Linked DNA regions of Anolis sagrei. The protein of the gene in region 1 interacts with the protein of each later gene in a pairwise test. Links are inferred from orthologs where the notes say so. Each region holds a gene or a part of one and is shown on either strand. Other genes may lie near its edges.

Region 1 (5,313 bases):
AAAGAACTGTTATATTTAAGCTCAAGCCTCAAAAAGACTGCTTAGTAAGGGGGATTTTCCTAAAGGCTTCTTTTCTGGGCCCCTGGCTTCCCGCTGGATGCAAGCCTAACATCCTCTCTTAAAAGCACCTCATTTCGGCTCCAGCGGTGACAGAACAATAGTGTAGGTCGCGACACATTAGTGTGTCCGCTGCAGTGCGTAACAGGAAATGACACAAGATTAAAAATTATATGTGTGTGTATGAGAAAGATTTCCATGAGATATGTTGCATTCCTATACATTTCGTTATTACAAATTGGGCCCAGGCCTGGTCTAGACTTTAGAATTTATTTATTTATTTTACTATATTTGTATACCGTCCTTCTCAGCCCTTAGGCGACTCAGGGCAGTTTACAATGGCAACGATTCAATGCCTAAAAACACCATAAAGGTAAAGGTAGTCCCCTGACATTAAGTCTAGTCATGTCTGACTCTGGGGTGTGGTGCTCATCTCCATTTCTAAGCCGAAGAGCCAGCGTTGTCCGCAGACACCTCCAAGGTCATGTGGTCATATAAACTTGGATGTTTGAACAGGCATTCGGTTAAACAGTGCAATGAATGTGATGATTACAGGAATGGAAATTTGGACGACAGATTGGATCACGACTCCAGTTATGAGATGTATTGTGTTGTCTAGGGTTGTGTCAATATTGTATATTATGCTTTTATGGTTTTAAATTGTATATCGTTGATTGTTTTTTATCCTTGTTGTAAACCGTGTTGAGTCGCCTGTTGGGCTGAGAAACTGCGGTATACAAGTAAAGTAAAGTAAATAAATAAATAAATGACTGCATGGAGCACCGTTACCTTCCCGCCAGAGCGGTTCCTATTGATCTACTTACATTTGCATGTTTTCGAACTGCTAGGTTGGCAGAAGCTAGGGCTGACAGCGGAAGCTCACGCTGCTCCCCGGAATCGAAGCTGCGACCTTTCAATCAACAAGCTCAGCAGCTCAGTGTTTTAACCCACTGCGCCACCGGGGGCTCCTTAAAAACACCACAAAACATATAAAAACATTAACACATAATATAAAACCATAGTAAGAATACTATAAGCATTCAATTAATGCACTTTGGTCCCACTTTATGAGCTAATTGTTTTACAATATGCTATGATTTTGTATATTTATGACTATGATTCTGTGATTTATTGGAGAGCCCAGCCAGCCATGTTATCTTCCTGAGGAGAACCTTCTCCAAAGGCCACCAAAGCAGACTGAGACGGTTTGGATCAGGCAGTGGGTGGAGCTACAGGGGGCGGAGCCACAGACGCTCTCGCCCCTCCCTTCGCTGTCTCCATGGTAACCAATCGCCGCCACTGCCCTTCGCTCCCACCAAAGACCCAACGCCTCGGCTACCGCGAGTGCGCATGCGCCCGCGCCCACCAGCTCTCCTAAAGGGGAGGCTGCACCAACCGATAGGCCCACCGCTCTTCCATTCATTGCTTTCTCCCCCCTCCACTTTTTCCCTCTTTTTCTTTTTTATTCGCTCGAGTCGGGATGATGTCCAACGACAACCTTCTCCCGTCACCAGGAATCATCCTTAAAAAAAGACGTCCCTCCTGATTCAAAGTAAGTCCTTATATATATAAATAGAGGGCCGGGAATGGGGGAGAAAGATCTCCCCCTTAACGTTTTGTCGCAAAGCAGGATGGGAGTCGTAGTCTTAGCGGCAACTGCTTTGTACGATCGCCTGTGGAACCGCGGGCCTCCGAGAAACTACAAAACCCAGAAAGCTTTGCGGGAAGATAATCAGATTCATTTTGGCTCTTACACCTTGAGGCCTGCCCTCCCCCCGTTTATCCTAATAGAATGGCTGGCCAATGGGAGGCCCTCTGGCAGGTAACCGTTATTTGTAGGAAAGGGCAGAGGGAGGGGTGGCTGGTGTTTGGAAAGGCACCCGAATAACGGTGATGGGGAAGCCCCGCCCCACTGTGATTGACAATTCGTTCTGCCAATGACAGTGGCTGATTATTTGGGGCTATATGCCAAGGTGTGCCAAGTATGTAGAGAGGATATAGACCAGACCTGGGACAGCTTGAGCCCTCCAGGTGTTTTGGACTTCAATTCCCACCATTCCTAACAGCCTCAGGCCCCTTCCTTTTCCCCCTCGGCTGCTTAAGCGGCCGAGGGGGAAAAGGAAAAGGCCTGAGGCTGTTAGGAATGGTGGGAATTGAAGTCCAAAACACCTGGAGGGCCAAAATTGGCCCAGGCCTGATATAGACTAAAAGGTGGCATAGAGTAAGGCAGGAATTAGATGCAAACAGAGGCTGCCAAATAGATGACAGGAGATTGAAGGGTTTCTTACATACTATATATAGGTCTTCCTTTGAAATATTGTTACCTGGGGCCGACAAATACAAGGCTGGGGTAAAAATTGCTGGGAGAAACATTAACAAGCTTAAATATGCAGATGATACCACTTTGATGGCCGAAAGCGAGGAGGAGCTTTCTAATCAAGAAGAAAGTGCAGAAGCTGAGTTGCAGTTAAACATAAAAAAAACCCCCAGGATTATGACAACAAGACTGATTGATAACTGGCAAATACAGGGAGAAAATGTGGAGGCAGTATTTATTTATTTATTTATTTATTTATCGTGTCAGGCAGCCGAGCAGTTGTACTACATTTTTGACAGAACAAACAAACAAACAAACATACAAAAGACACAGAGTTTGCAAGCTTGGCAGTTGATTGACTGTCCTTTGACCAGTATTTGGCCACTTGGTGTGCCTCTGGTGTTGCCGCAAGAAGATCCTCCATTGTGCATGTAGCAGGGCTCAGGTTGCATTGCAGCAGGTGGTCTGTAGTTTGCTCTTCTCCACACTCGCATGTTGTGGATTCCACTTTGTCACCCCATTTCTTAAGGTTGGCTCTGCATCTTATGGTGCCAGAGTGTAGTCTGTTCAGTAGTTTGTTCAGTGGAGGCAGTGACAAGCTTTTTATTTCTAGGTGCAAAGATTACTGCAGATGCGGACTGCAGCCAGGAAATCAGAAGATGCTTACTTCTTGGGAGGAGAGCAATGACCAATCTTGATAAAATAGTGAAGAGTAGAGAGATCACACTGGCAACAACGATCTGCATAGTAAAAGCAATGGTATTCCTCGTAGTAACCTACGGATGTGAGAGCTGGATGATAAGGAAGGCTGAGCAAAGGAAGATAAATGCTTTTGAACTGTGGTGTTGTAGGAATGTTCCGTGAGTGCCTTGGACCGTGAGAAGATCAAACCAGTCCATATTCCAGAAAATAATGCCTAACTGCTCACTGGAGAGAAGGATAGTAGAGGCAAAGTATTTTGGCCACATAATGAGAAGACAGGAAAGCTTGGAGAAGACAATGATGCTGGGGAAAATGGAAGGAAAGAGGCCAACCAAAGGCAAGATGGATGGATGGTATCCTTGAAGAGACTGGCTTGACCTTGAAGGAGCTGGGGGTGGTGATGGTCGATGGAGCTCTGGCGTGGGCTGGTCCATGAGGTCACGAAGAGTCGGAAGCGACTGAAAAATGAACAACAACAAGGAAACTCACTACAAGGGCTTTACACGTTGTGTAGTTTTATTGACTTTGATATTTTGTCAGTCTAACATCATTAGGAAGGGAATTCCATAGATGAGGAGCCACCATTGAGAAGGGTTTATTCTTTTTAATCTGTCTGGCAAGCCTGAGCTCATTTCACAACTTAGCCTTACAATCCTTTCCCGTACATATGTTGGTCATTTGTTTGAATTCCTCTATGGTGATTTTCCCCTTTTCCATTTCTTATGCATGTCTCTTAAATCTTAACTCAGTTAAAAGTTCTTTGGACATCCATTCTGGTTGCTTTACACTTCTCTTATTTTTTCTCCTTGCTGGCATTGTTTGCAACTATGCTTTCAGTATTTCACTTTTTAAAAACCTCCCATCCACCATTTGCTCTCTTCTCTTCTAGTATTCCTGTCCATGCTCAATATTTCCTTAAATTTCCTGAAGTCAGCTCTCCTAAAGTCTGGAATACTTTATGCATGGCTTTGCTGATACTTGTTGCATGATCATGGATCCAAGGCAGGTTTCTGAGTATTAATGCCTGATTTTATTATGATGTTCTTTTATGCTGTTCTCATTCATTGTGTTGATACGTTTTTATGATAGTCAACTAACACTCAATCATTAATGACGTTGCATTCATAACCTTGACTCAGTCATCAATCCACATAGAAACTGCAGTCAAGACATCAGAAGAATAACTGGAAGGGCAACTATGAAGAAACTAGATAAGACCCTCAAGAGGACAATGAAGTAAAGCAACCCATTTGAAATGTGGTGCTGGAGGAGAGTTCTAACCCTCACCGTAAGCCTGTCAAAAAGACAAATAGATGAGCCTGAGAGCAAATCAAGTTGGAACTCTTTATTACAGGCCAAAATGACTAATCCAAACCTACTTCATTTTGGATATACAAAAAACCCTGGAGAAGACAATAATACTTGGTAAAGCTGAAGGTAATAGGAAAAACGAAATGCTGTATTTCTGTTTTATTGGCTATTCTAAAGCTTTTAACTGAATGGATCATAATAAATTGTGGCAAGAACTTGGTGGTAAGGGGATACCAAGTCACCTTGTCAATCTTCTGAGGAATCTGTATAATGACCAAGTAGCAACAGTAAGAACAGACCACGGAACAACAGACTGGTTCACTATTGGGAAAGGAGTACAGAAGGACTGTATACTCTCATCCTACCTATTCAACTTGTATGCAAATCTGGGGAGAAGCGGATGAGCTCCCTCTATCAGCTCCAGCTCCACATGCGGGGACATGAGAGAAGCCTCCCACAAGGATGATTAAAACATCAAATCATCTGGGCGTCCCCTGGGCAACGTCCTTGCAGGTGGCCAATTCTCTCACACCAGAAGCGACTTGCAGTTTCTCAAGTCACTCCTGACACACACACACACACAAAAACTTGTATGCAGAACACATCATGCAATATGTAGGGCTTGATGAATCCAAGACAGGAGTTAAAATTGCTGGAAGAGACATTAATAAACTTAGATATGCAGATGATACCACTTTGATGGCTGAAAGCGAGGAGGAGCTGAGGAGCTTTATAAACAAGGTGAAAGAAGTGCAAAAGCTGGGTTGCAGTTAAACATCAAAGGAACAAAGATTATGGCAACCAAACGGATTGATAACTGGCAAATAGAGGGAGAAAACGTGGAGGCAGTGGCAGACTTTGTATTTCTAGGTGCAAAGATTACGACAGATGCAGACTGCAGCCAAGAAGTCAGAAGACATTTACTT
Region 2 (5,313 bases), on another chromosome or scaffold:
GGTTCTCAACCTGTGGGTCCCCAGATGTTTTGGCCTACAACTCCCAGAAATCACAGCCAATTTACCAGCTGTTAGGATATCTGGGAATTGAAGGCCAAAACATCTGGGGACCCACACATTGAGAACCATTGACCTAGTGCTTGAGTATTGTAATTATAGTTGTTTGCAGTATTAGGACTGAGTTTTTAAACAGCACTGTGAGAAAAAAAAAACCAGAATGCATAAATCTTTGGTATCTCGAGTTACAAAGAAGAAAGACCAGACTTATTACATCTACCCAACCTCAATGAAAACTCCATGTATTAATATCATGCTATTCAACAAATGAGACTTTAACTACCACTTTCTGTTCTATCTGTTAAACAGTATAAATGAAAGTGGCCTCACTTCAGTACAAAAGAATCACCCCTTAAGATTCCCAAAGATTATTTTTAAATGAAACAGGTTAATACAGTTGCAAGGTTAACCATAAAAACAGTCTCTGCAGCACAATAATTCTAAATGCCTTTTTCTCCTAACTATAAAAAGCTTTAAACATTTTTACTTCTTAAGATACTGTTTTAGAATAGACAGTTACCTGGTCTGCTGAAGTTGTGTTACTCACCTCCATAACAGAGGACCCAGCGCCCCACTCTCCTGAGAAGATAAAAGGAGCAGTCTTGATTTGGAAGAATAATATTTTGTCAATGATTAATATTTATTTTCTTCCATTTAAGATATCAAACTGAGGCACTAAACACCTCCCAACAAAGGATTCCTCCAGGCAGGAATCACCCAGGCCTTGAAGCTGCAAGACTTTGCAATGCTAATCAAGGTGATCAATTGCAACATTCACACTTACCTCCAACAGACAAGAGTTCTTTCTCCCAACCTGGACCTTCAACAGATATATAAACCTCCCTTGACTAGTTTCCAACAGACCTCACAACCTCTGAGGATGCCGGCCATATATGTGCATGAAACATCAGAAGTGAATGCTTCTGGAACATGGCCATACAGCCCAGAAACCTCACAACAACCCAGTGATTCCGGCCATGAAAGCCTTTGATAACACATTTGTATAAAATCAGCATTTATTAAGAAACAATAAAACCAGAATCCATCATTTCAGCAAGAACCATGTGTGTATTTATGGGAAATTTAAAAAAAATCAGTCAAGAGGGGACGAAAATTAATTAGAGAAAAATGTTGGTTTTCACCTTTTCTGGATCACCATCAGGCAGAGGCACAGAACCTATGCTTTTACTATTTGTATTAATGTTGACCCAACATATCTAAACAAATATGCTTCATACTGAAACTCAGACAAACCAAGCGTTGATCCCTCTGTTTATACAACATCAATAGGGAAGCAAAAAAGTAGTACACCGTGTCATTGTAGCAAATTTCTCTGTTACAGGACTGGAGTATGCAACATGTATCTTCAACCCAGTAAAAAAAAAATCAAGCCAGAGCAAACCCTTTAAATTTTAAAAGTCATGTGTTGAGCAAATAAATGTGAGCATTAGTTCATGATATCTTTGTCCTTTCCTTTGCCATTTTGCCTCTGCAGCCGAATTTAACTTGGAACCCCCAGTGATGAATGCCAGGGTTTCTTATTTAGGTTTACTGTATGGGATGCACAATTGTGCAAATATGCTTTATACCGGAACATTTATTATTCCTCTTAACTTTAAAGTGGATGATAAGGACACTCAAAGATTTCAAGATTTGCCTTGTTGTTCACCAGAAGGTAGACTGCAATCAAATCAGAAGACTATATATTGGAAGGGCAACTATGAAAGAACCAGTCAAGATCCTGAGATGTAAAGATATATCATTGGAGACTAAAATTAGGATTATATATGCCATTGCATTTCCAATTATTGTGAAAGAAAGCTGGACAGTGAAGAAAACTGACAGGAAGGAAACCAACTCATTTGAAATGTGGTTCTAGAGGAGAGTTCTACAAACACTGTGGACTGCTAAAAAGATAGACAAATGGACTTTTCCCTAGAAGCCAAGATACCTATTTTTTTCATGTCAGGAGTGACTTGAGACATTGCAAGTCGCTTCTGGTATGAGAGAATTGGCCGTCAGCAAAGACGTTGCCCAGGGGATGCCCCAGATGTTTACCATCCTATGGGAGGTTTCTCTCATGTCCCCACATGAGAAGCTGGAGCTAACGGATGGGAGCTCACCCCCGCTCCTCAGATTCGAACCACCAACCTTTCGGTCAGCAGTCCTGCTGGCACAAGGGTTTTAACCCATTGTGCCACCGGGGGCTCAACTGAGACTAAATTGAGACTATCCTACTTTGGACACATAATGGAAAGATGGGACTCACTAGAAAAAACAATAATGCTTGATAAGGTAGAAGGCAATCTAAAAAGAGGAAGAGTGCATTCCAGGGCCATAACTACAGGGACCACTTTAACTGCCATGTCTGTGGAATCTTGGGAGCTGTAGTTTAGTGAGGCACCAGAACTCTTTGGCAGAGAAGGCTAAAGGCCTTATAAAGCGGCATCTTATCTCCCAGGATCCCATAGCATTGAGCCATGGCAGTTAAAGTGGGATCAAACTGCATTCATTCTAAAATATGGGGCCCTTCCCCACAGCCCTATATTCCAGAATATCAAGGCAGAAAATCCCACATTATCTGAGTGTGGACTCAGATAACCCAGTTCAAAGCGGATATTGTGGGGTTTTCTGTCTTAATATTCTGGGATATAGGGCTGTGGGGAAGGGCCCTGAGTCCACACTGCCATATATTCCAGTTCAAAGCAGATAATGTGGGATTTTATTCAGCTGTGTTGAAGGGGTCACAGAGGCACCCAAGTCTTGCAAATGTAGAGCCATGGCTTTCTTTATTGAGTCTGGGCAACTGGGGCACATTTACACTGGGACTTAAGCACTGGAGGAGGGAAATTAATTAGTTGCATAGTGTGTTTACATGAGAAATACAACTGATCGGTTGCACCAAAGGGCCCTTCCAGACAGATCCTTTATCCCAGGATCTGATCCTTGGTTTTCTGCTTTAAACTGGATTATATGAGTCTGCATTGCCAGATAATCTGGGATAAACAGAAAACCTGGGATCACATCCTGGTATACAGGGCCTGCCTAGAAGGACCAAAGTTTCCTTGAAGCTGGATCTGGTTCCAAACTGCATTAATTCTACAGTGCAGCAGCAACCTTGGCCACATCTCATTCCTGAGGGTCGCCATGCTAACTTGATAGCAATTGATAACAATATCCAAAGCAGTGGATTAAGATCGGAGGCTGGATCTGCACTGCCCTATATTTATTTATTTACGACATTTATATGCCATCCTTCTCACTCTGAAGGGGACTCAGAGCGGCTTACAAGATATATATACATATCAGATTTAAGTATTACTATTTGTACTATACTATTATACTGTAATATTATTAGTAATATTACATGTAATATAAATATATAATTATTATATCATATTATTATTAGTATTATATTGCACTACATTAATTAAGATGATCTGCTTTGAACTGGATTATATGAGTCTACACTCCCAGATAATCTGGGATCAGATCCCGGGAATAAAAAAGGACATTGAGTCTTAAAGGTGCTGCCACGTGTTTCTTCCCTTTGCCCCCTTCTTACACTGGAATAGACCCATAGTGATACTTCTTTGAGCAGGACCAAGCGAAGGAGGGATTCCCACCTGAGGGATAGAAGAGAGACTTAGAGAAATGTGTTATTAATCCCCAGCCAGCCTCCATGCCCCCAAATGAGCCTTTAGGATGCGCCCGACTTACTGCAGCTTGTTGTCCTTTCTTTTCCTGGGCCGTTTTTAAAGAGACCGCCTCCCCTCCCGCTCTCCCAGGCTCCCGCCCCGCCTTCCCCGCCTCACCTGTGACCCGGAAATAGACCCGCCTCCTTGAAGCCGCCCAGCCAACTTCCGCCCGAAAGAACCTTTCCTCTTCTCCTCCCTCTCTTTTCAGATCCTCTACATCAGATGAGTGAGATCTATAGATTGGCTGCCAGGTTACTCTATAAAATGTACATTCCCTGTTCATTGCACTAGCAGGCAAACCTGGTTTCCACATTTCGGCTTGTATCTTTCAGCAAACCACCCAAACATGCATGCAAAGGGTGCATCTTTCTACACTCTTGAATTAGTGTAGTTCAGTAGTTCCCAGCCTTTGGTCCTCCAGGTGTTTTGGACTTCAACTCCCACAATTCTTAACAGCTGGCAAACTGGCTGGGATTTCTGGGAGCTGAAGTCCAAAACACCTAGGGGACCAAAGGTTAGGAACCACTGGTGTAGTTCGACACCATTTTAACTGACATGCTCAATGTTGTGGGGTCATGGGATCTGTAGTTTTGTTGAGCACCAGCCCTCTTAGGTAGAGGGGGCTGAAGACCTTGCCAAACTACAGCTTCCAGGATCTCACAGCGCTGGGTCATGTCAGTCAAAGTAATACAAAACTGTATTAATTCTGCTGTGTAGATCAGGCATGGGCAAACTTGGGCCTTCCAGGTGTTTTGGACTTCAACTCCCACAATTCCTAACAGCTGGCAAACTGACTGGGATTTCTGGGAGTTGAAGTTCAAAACACCTGGGGGACCAAAGGTTGGGAACCACTGGTGTAGTTTGACACCATTTTAACTGACATGGCTCAATGGGATCTGTAGTTTTGTTGACCACCAGCCCTCTTAGGCAGAAGGGCTGAAGACCTTACCAAACTACAGCTTCCAGGATCTCACAGCACTGGGCCATGTCAGTCAAAGTCATACTAAACCGTATTAATTCTGCTGTGTAGATCAGGCATGGGCAAACTTGGGCCCTTCAGCTCCCACAATTCCTAACAGCTGGAAAACTGGCTGGGATTTCTGGGAGCTGAAGTCCAAAACACCTAGGGGACCAAAGGTGTAGTTCGACACCACTTTAACTGACATGGCTCAATGCTATGAGATCATGGGATTTGTAGTTTTGTTGAGCACCAGCCCTCTTTGGCAGAGGGGGTTGAAGACCATGCCAAACTACAGCTTCCAGGATCTCATAGCACTGTTCCATGTCAGTCAAAGTCATACCAAGCTGCATTAATTCTGCTGTGTAAATCAGGCATGGGCAAACAGATCCTCCAGGTGTTTTGGACTTCAACTCCCACAATTCCTAACAGCTGTTAGGAATTGTGGGAGTTGAAATCCAAAACACTTGGAGGACCCAAGTTTGCCCATGCTGGTGTAGATGTTCCCTTAGTTTAGACTCTGGAACACCAAGGGAGATCTGGACTTTCCTTCCTGGAGGTACTAGTATGGTTAAGAAGGATTTAAAATGTATATTTTGG
Region 3 (5,313 bases), on another chromosome or scaffold:
TCTCATTTGCATATGCATTTATATATGCAAATGCAGATCCTCCAGAATCTGACAAAAACCCAAAATCCCAAACATTTCTGGTTCCAAGCATTTTGAAGAAGGGACTAGTCAACCTATATTAGCCTGGAGCACTGTGCCTGGAGAGCAAAGTTAATGCCATAGGCCAATATAGGTTGATTATTCTTTCTCCAAAGCCCTTCCTAAGCCACTGAGTCATGGATGAGCAGCTGACCACAGCAATTTGTGGTGAGGAAGAAAACCTGACACAAGATGTGCCTTCAGAGCTAAATTTTAACCCAGGGCCCTTCCACACAGCTATATAGCCCAGAATATCAAGGCAGAAAATCCCGCAATATCTGCTTTGAACTGGGTTATCTGACACTTCCATATATTCCAGTTCAAAGCAGAAAATGTGGGATTTTATTCAGCTGTGTGGACGGGGCCTCGGTCTTCTTAGCCCTGGCACTTATCTTCAGCAACATCATCTTCTTTATTATGTTGATTTGTACCTCATTTTTTTCTCCCAGTTGTGGAACCCAAACCAGCTCACAGCCTTAAAAAGCCTGTACAATTTAAATGCATCCCCAATATATATATACACTTGAAAATAAAAAAAAAATTATAACCATTAAAACAAAGAAAAATGTTAAATGTGCTGTGGTCTTTAGCTGTAAATATATTTTGATGGATTTTAACTAATTTTTTTAGTGCTGCTTGTGTTTTAGTGTTTGCATATTTTAAATAGTATAGTAAAAGCAAAGATTTCTCCTTGACATTAAGTCTAGTGATGTCCGACTCTGGGGGGTGGTGCTCATCTCCATTTCTAAGCCAACGAGCTGGTGTTATCCGTAGATACCTCCAAGGTCATATGGCTAGCAGGACTGCATGGAGTGCTGTCCTGTAGGAGTGATACCTATTGATTTACTCACATCTGCATGTTTAAGAACTGCTAGGTTGACAGAAGCTAGGACTAACAGCGGGAGCTCAGCTTTTGGTCAGAAAGTTCTGTAGCTCAGTGGTTTAACCTGCTGTACCACCCGAGGCTCCTTGAATGGTATACTAATGCTTTTATGTCAAGCTGCTTTGAGTTCTCTTTGGGGAGATAAAGTGGGGTACAAATAAAAAACAATATTTAAAAGCAATTCCTGTCAGCGCACTCAGAACAACACATGGCTCATGCCATATGGAAATAACACGGCATCAAAAGACTTCCCATAAGAGATTAAATACAACATCAACATCATCATCTCTGCAGTTGCCTCGCCTCTGGATCTCTCCCAAAGGAAATTAGAATGGCCCCTTCATTGTCCTCTTTCAGAAATTTATTATTTATTTCGAGCACTTCTATCCCGCTCTTCTCACCCCCGAAGGGAGACTCAGGGCGGCTTACAAAAAGGCACAATTTGATGCCAGCAATACACATAATAAAATAAAATAAAATACAGAAAATACAGAAAGCTATTAAAAACTCACCAATGCTCTCAAGCATATGAAGAGCCTAATGTCTAGCATGTTAAATAAGGACTGCTTTACCGGATATGGCTTTTATTTTTGGATGTGGCTTTTGACATTGGACTTTAACTTTATTGTTTCAATGTTGTGTGTGCGCACACTCAGCGTCACACATGACTCATCCTGAATGGAAATAACATGGCATTAAAAAAATGTCTACAGTATAAGAGCATTAAATAGAGCATCATTACCATTATTATTATTATTATTTTCTTTTCTATCATGCTATATTCCCACTTCGAAACTGCATTATATGGCAGTGCAGATGGAGCCCCAAAGTGGCTCAGAGCTTTAAATACATACACAATTCTAAAAACCCCTACAAAATATCAATATTAAATAGAATTAAATGTTACAACCGTTAAAACAAGCACAACAATGTTAAAATTCATGTCACTACCAAGGGATGGCTGACCACAGATGGAAATGATGCAATATTTAAAAGGCACTGCAGACTACTTCAACCAGAGAAGTCAGCCATAGCAGAGCACCTGATGAACCAGCCTGGACACAGCATATTATTTGAGAACACAGAAATGCTGGACCACACCAACAACCACCATGTCAGACTACACAGAGAAGCCATTGAAATCCACAAGCATGTGGACAATTTCAACAGAAAGGAGGAGACCATGAAAATGAACAACCAGTATTAAAAAACTCTAAAATTACAACAGCAAAACAACAGAGAGGAAACAAACAAGGACATCTAATCACCTCTCAACAAAAGATTGCCCCAGGCCCTGCCTGGCCATCAAATGCTACTCAAGGTGGTCAGTTGAAACATTCACAGCTAGCTCCAACAGACAAGAGTTCTTTGCCCCACCCCAGTCATTCCACAGATATATAAACCCTTTGTCCTATTTCCAACAGACCTCACTACCTCTGAGGATGCTTGCCATAGATGCAGGCGAAACGTCAGGAGAAATGCCTCTAGAACATGGCCCTATAGCCCGAAAAAACCCACAAGAACCTTTAAAAGGCCTCCCATAAGAGCATTGATTATAGCGTCAAATATCACTCACAGCAGCACTGATTCTCAGCCATCACACAGCAGAATGGCAACACTACCCCTGAGCATACGAAGAGTGCCACTGAGATAGCAGGGCCTGGGAATGGGCTATCCAAAAGCGTCCCTGCTTTCCCCTCAGCCTGCCTCCCTTTAATAACGGTCCCCCCATCCCTCTACCTGTGAAGAGGCCTACCTCCTTGCCAGGACCACCCTGAGAGTAGCTAGGCCCCGTTGTCAAGGCAACCAGGCCCTTCCTGGCCTGAGAGAAGGAGACGGAGGCCGGCCGCCGTGCCTCTGAGGGGAGAAAAGGAGAGCAAACACGTACCCGCCGCTTCGCCTTGATTCCTTCAGGAAGAACCAGCTCGCGGGAATGGATGAGCGACTGCGCATGCGCCCTCAGCACCCACTCTCTCCTCCCGGCCCTTCCCCGGCGAAGAGAAAAACAAACGTCATCGAAGCCCCGCCCACATCGCGTCGCAGCCGCTTTAAACCCAACATGGCGGCCGCGCCCTGATTGGACGAATCCCAGAATGCATCTAGGTCAGCCTGGCCAAAAGGGGGCGGGGCGCTTTGGTGAGGTGTCAAGTTCCCTTAAGGACGCTAAGGATGCATCTACTCTCTCTCTCTCTCTATAGATATGCAATATATATATTATAATATATAGAAATAATAAGATTGTAATGTAACAATACATAATATTAACAATGTAATATATATCATATATAATACAACTTATGATCTATATAAATAAAAATGTAATGTTCTTTTGTGGGATTAACAGAACTCAAAAACAACTGGATGAATTGACACCAAATTTGGACAGCGTACACCTAACCACCCAATGTATGTCCTTCACTAAAAAAAAAAATGATTTTGTCCTTTGGGAGTTGTAGTTGCCCGGATTTATAGTTCACCTACAATCAAAGAGCATTCTGAATTCCACTAATGATGGAATTGAACCAAAGGTGACACACAGGACTCCTATGACCAACAGAAAACACTAGAAGGGTTTGGTGGGCATTGACTTTGAGTTTGGGAGTTGTAGTTCACCTACATCCAGAGGGCACTGTGGACTCAAACAATGATGGATCTGGACCAAACTTGGCACAAATATTCCATATGCCCAAACACAGATGGAGTTTGGGGAAAATAGACCTTGACATTTGGGAGTTGTAGTTGCTGGGATACATAGTTCACCTACAATCAAAGAGCATTCTGAACCCCACCAATGACAGAATTGGGGCAAATTTCCCACACAGAACCCTCATGACCAACAGAAAATACTTCAGGCCATCCAGTCCAACTCTCTTCACCAGGGCAAGAAAACGTAAACAAAGCCCTCCTGACAAAGAGCCATCCAGCCATAGATAGATATATATGATTCACACACGCACAGATATAATATCATAGGTTTGAAAGGAACCCTAAAGAAGGACAATGATATGTTGCATATTCCAGAATAGGCAGACCAGATACTCTCCACATCAACACTGACAAAGAAACAGCAAGAAATGTTGTTTACCCACATGCATAAAGAAATTACATAGATTAGAAACCATTACTTTATTTTCCAGATCACCAGACTGGGCCACAGCAACGCGTGGCAGGGGATGGCTAGTATATAATATATTATACTAGCCATCCCCTGCCACGCGTTACTGTGACCCAGTCTGTCTATATGTGTTTTGTGTGCGTATTTGTGTATATGTGCATGTATATATTTGTGTATATATGTGTGTTTGCATATATATGTGTGTGTGTGTGGTTTTGTGCATGCATTGTAATGTATTTTTTTATTTTTTGGTTTTTTAAGTCTCTTGTATTACATGATAATATAATGTAATACACTATAATACTAATAATAATACGATATAATAATAATATTGTAGTAAAGTAATACTAATATATTATGATATACCGTTTTATTATTGTATATTTGTATATTTTAAGTTGTAGGCTGTTAGGATTTGTGGGAGTTGAAGTCAAAAACAAATGGAGGGCTGAAGTTTGCCCATGCCTGTAGTACACTGTAGAATGAATGCATTTTCACACTATGGCTTAAAGTTATGGGATCCTGGGGAGCTGCAGTTTGGTGAAGCACCAGCATTCTTGGACTGCAAATCTCAAAATTCCATAGCATTGAGCCATGACAGTTCAAGTGGTGTCAAACTTCATTAATTCCACAGTGTAGGTGCACCATTTGGTAGAAAAGGCTAGAGATGTTCTAAAACTACAAATCCCAGGGTTCTGTAGCATTGTGACATGGCTCTTGGAGCGGTGTCAAGCTGCATTAACTTTATGTTCTCAAAAACACAGGACTCCTTTAGTCTAAACCAGTGTTTCCCAAGCTTTGGGTTTTTGGGACTTCAACTCCCAGAATGCCTCATCATATGCTAAGGGAGCGGAGGCTTATGGGAGTTGAAGTCCAAGAGACGCGGAAGCCTATTTCAACCACTGTAGGCAGACGTACCGGCGTTTGGTTTTTATGCTCCGCCCAGAAATGGGTCGCGCATGCTCAGTAGGCTTCGGGAGGCAGAAGAGAAATGAAGGTCCAAGCGGTGCGGTGTGTAGGGTGACTTGGGGGCGGGCATGGTTGCAATCACATACAGATCCCGCCTAATTGCAATTAACTGTACGTCCACTCACAAGCAAAGGCTGTCTTTATTTTAGCCCCAGGTAAGTTTGTGTTTGCGCCTTTAAATCCCATATTCGTTGGTGGTCTCCCATCCAAGTATCAGCCAGGGCTGGCCCTGCTTAGGAACAATGTGGTGTCACAACAGTATGAATCA

Evidence for each region.
Region 2: the proteins of KATNAL1 (region 1) and CEP57L1 interact in binary tests that used the Homo sapiens proteins (3 or more experiments, as listed by UniProt). The two-hybrid records come from large-scale screens. The link is inferred for Anolis sagrei from reciprocal best matches to the Homo sapiens genes KATNAL1 and CEP57L1.
Region 3: the proteins of KATNAL1 (region 1) and KLC4 interact in binary tests that used the Homo sapiens proteins (3 or more experiments, as listed by UniProt). The two-hybrid records come from large-scale screens. The link is inferred for Anolis sagrei from reciprocal best matches to the Homo sapiens genes KATNAL1 and KLC4.

What each region holds. Positions count from the first base shown.
Region 1 is NC_090023.1:32,585,492-32,590,804, reverse strand, and holds the start of KATNAL1 (katanin p60 ATPase-containing subunit A-like 1), read left to right. Parts: upstream 1-1,785; 5' UTR 1,786-1,860; coding exon 1,861-1,879; intron 1,880-4,228; exon of another isoform or gene 4,229-4,513; intron 4,514-5,313. UniProt on the Homo sapiens protein: Regulates microtubule dynamics in Sertoli cells, a process that is essential for spermiogenesis and male fertility. Severs microtubules in an ATP-dependent manner, promoting rapid reorganization of cellular microtubule arrays.
Region 2 is NC_090021.1:93,991,249-93,996,561, forward strand, and holds the start of CEP57L1 (centrosomal protein CEP57L1), read right to left. Parts: upstream 3,831-5,313; 5' UTR 3,778-3,830; intron 3,666-3,777; exon of another isoform or gene 3,623-3,665; intron 637-3,622; 5' UTR 611-636; coding exon 578-610; intron 1-577. UniProt on the Homo sapiens protein: Centrosomal protein which may be required for microtubule attachment to centrosomes.
Region 3 is NC_090021.1:25,294,899-25,300,211, reverse strand, and holds the start of KLC4 (kinesin light chain 4), read right to left. Parts: upstream 2,958-5,313; 5' UTR 2,850-2,957; intron 2,844-2,849; exon of another isoform or gene 2,718-2,843; intron 1-2,717.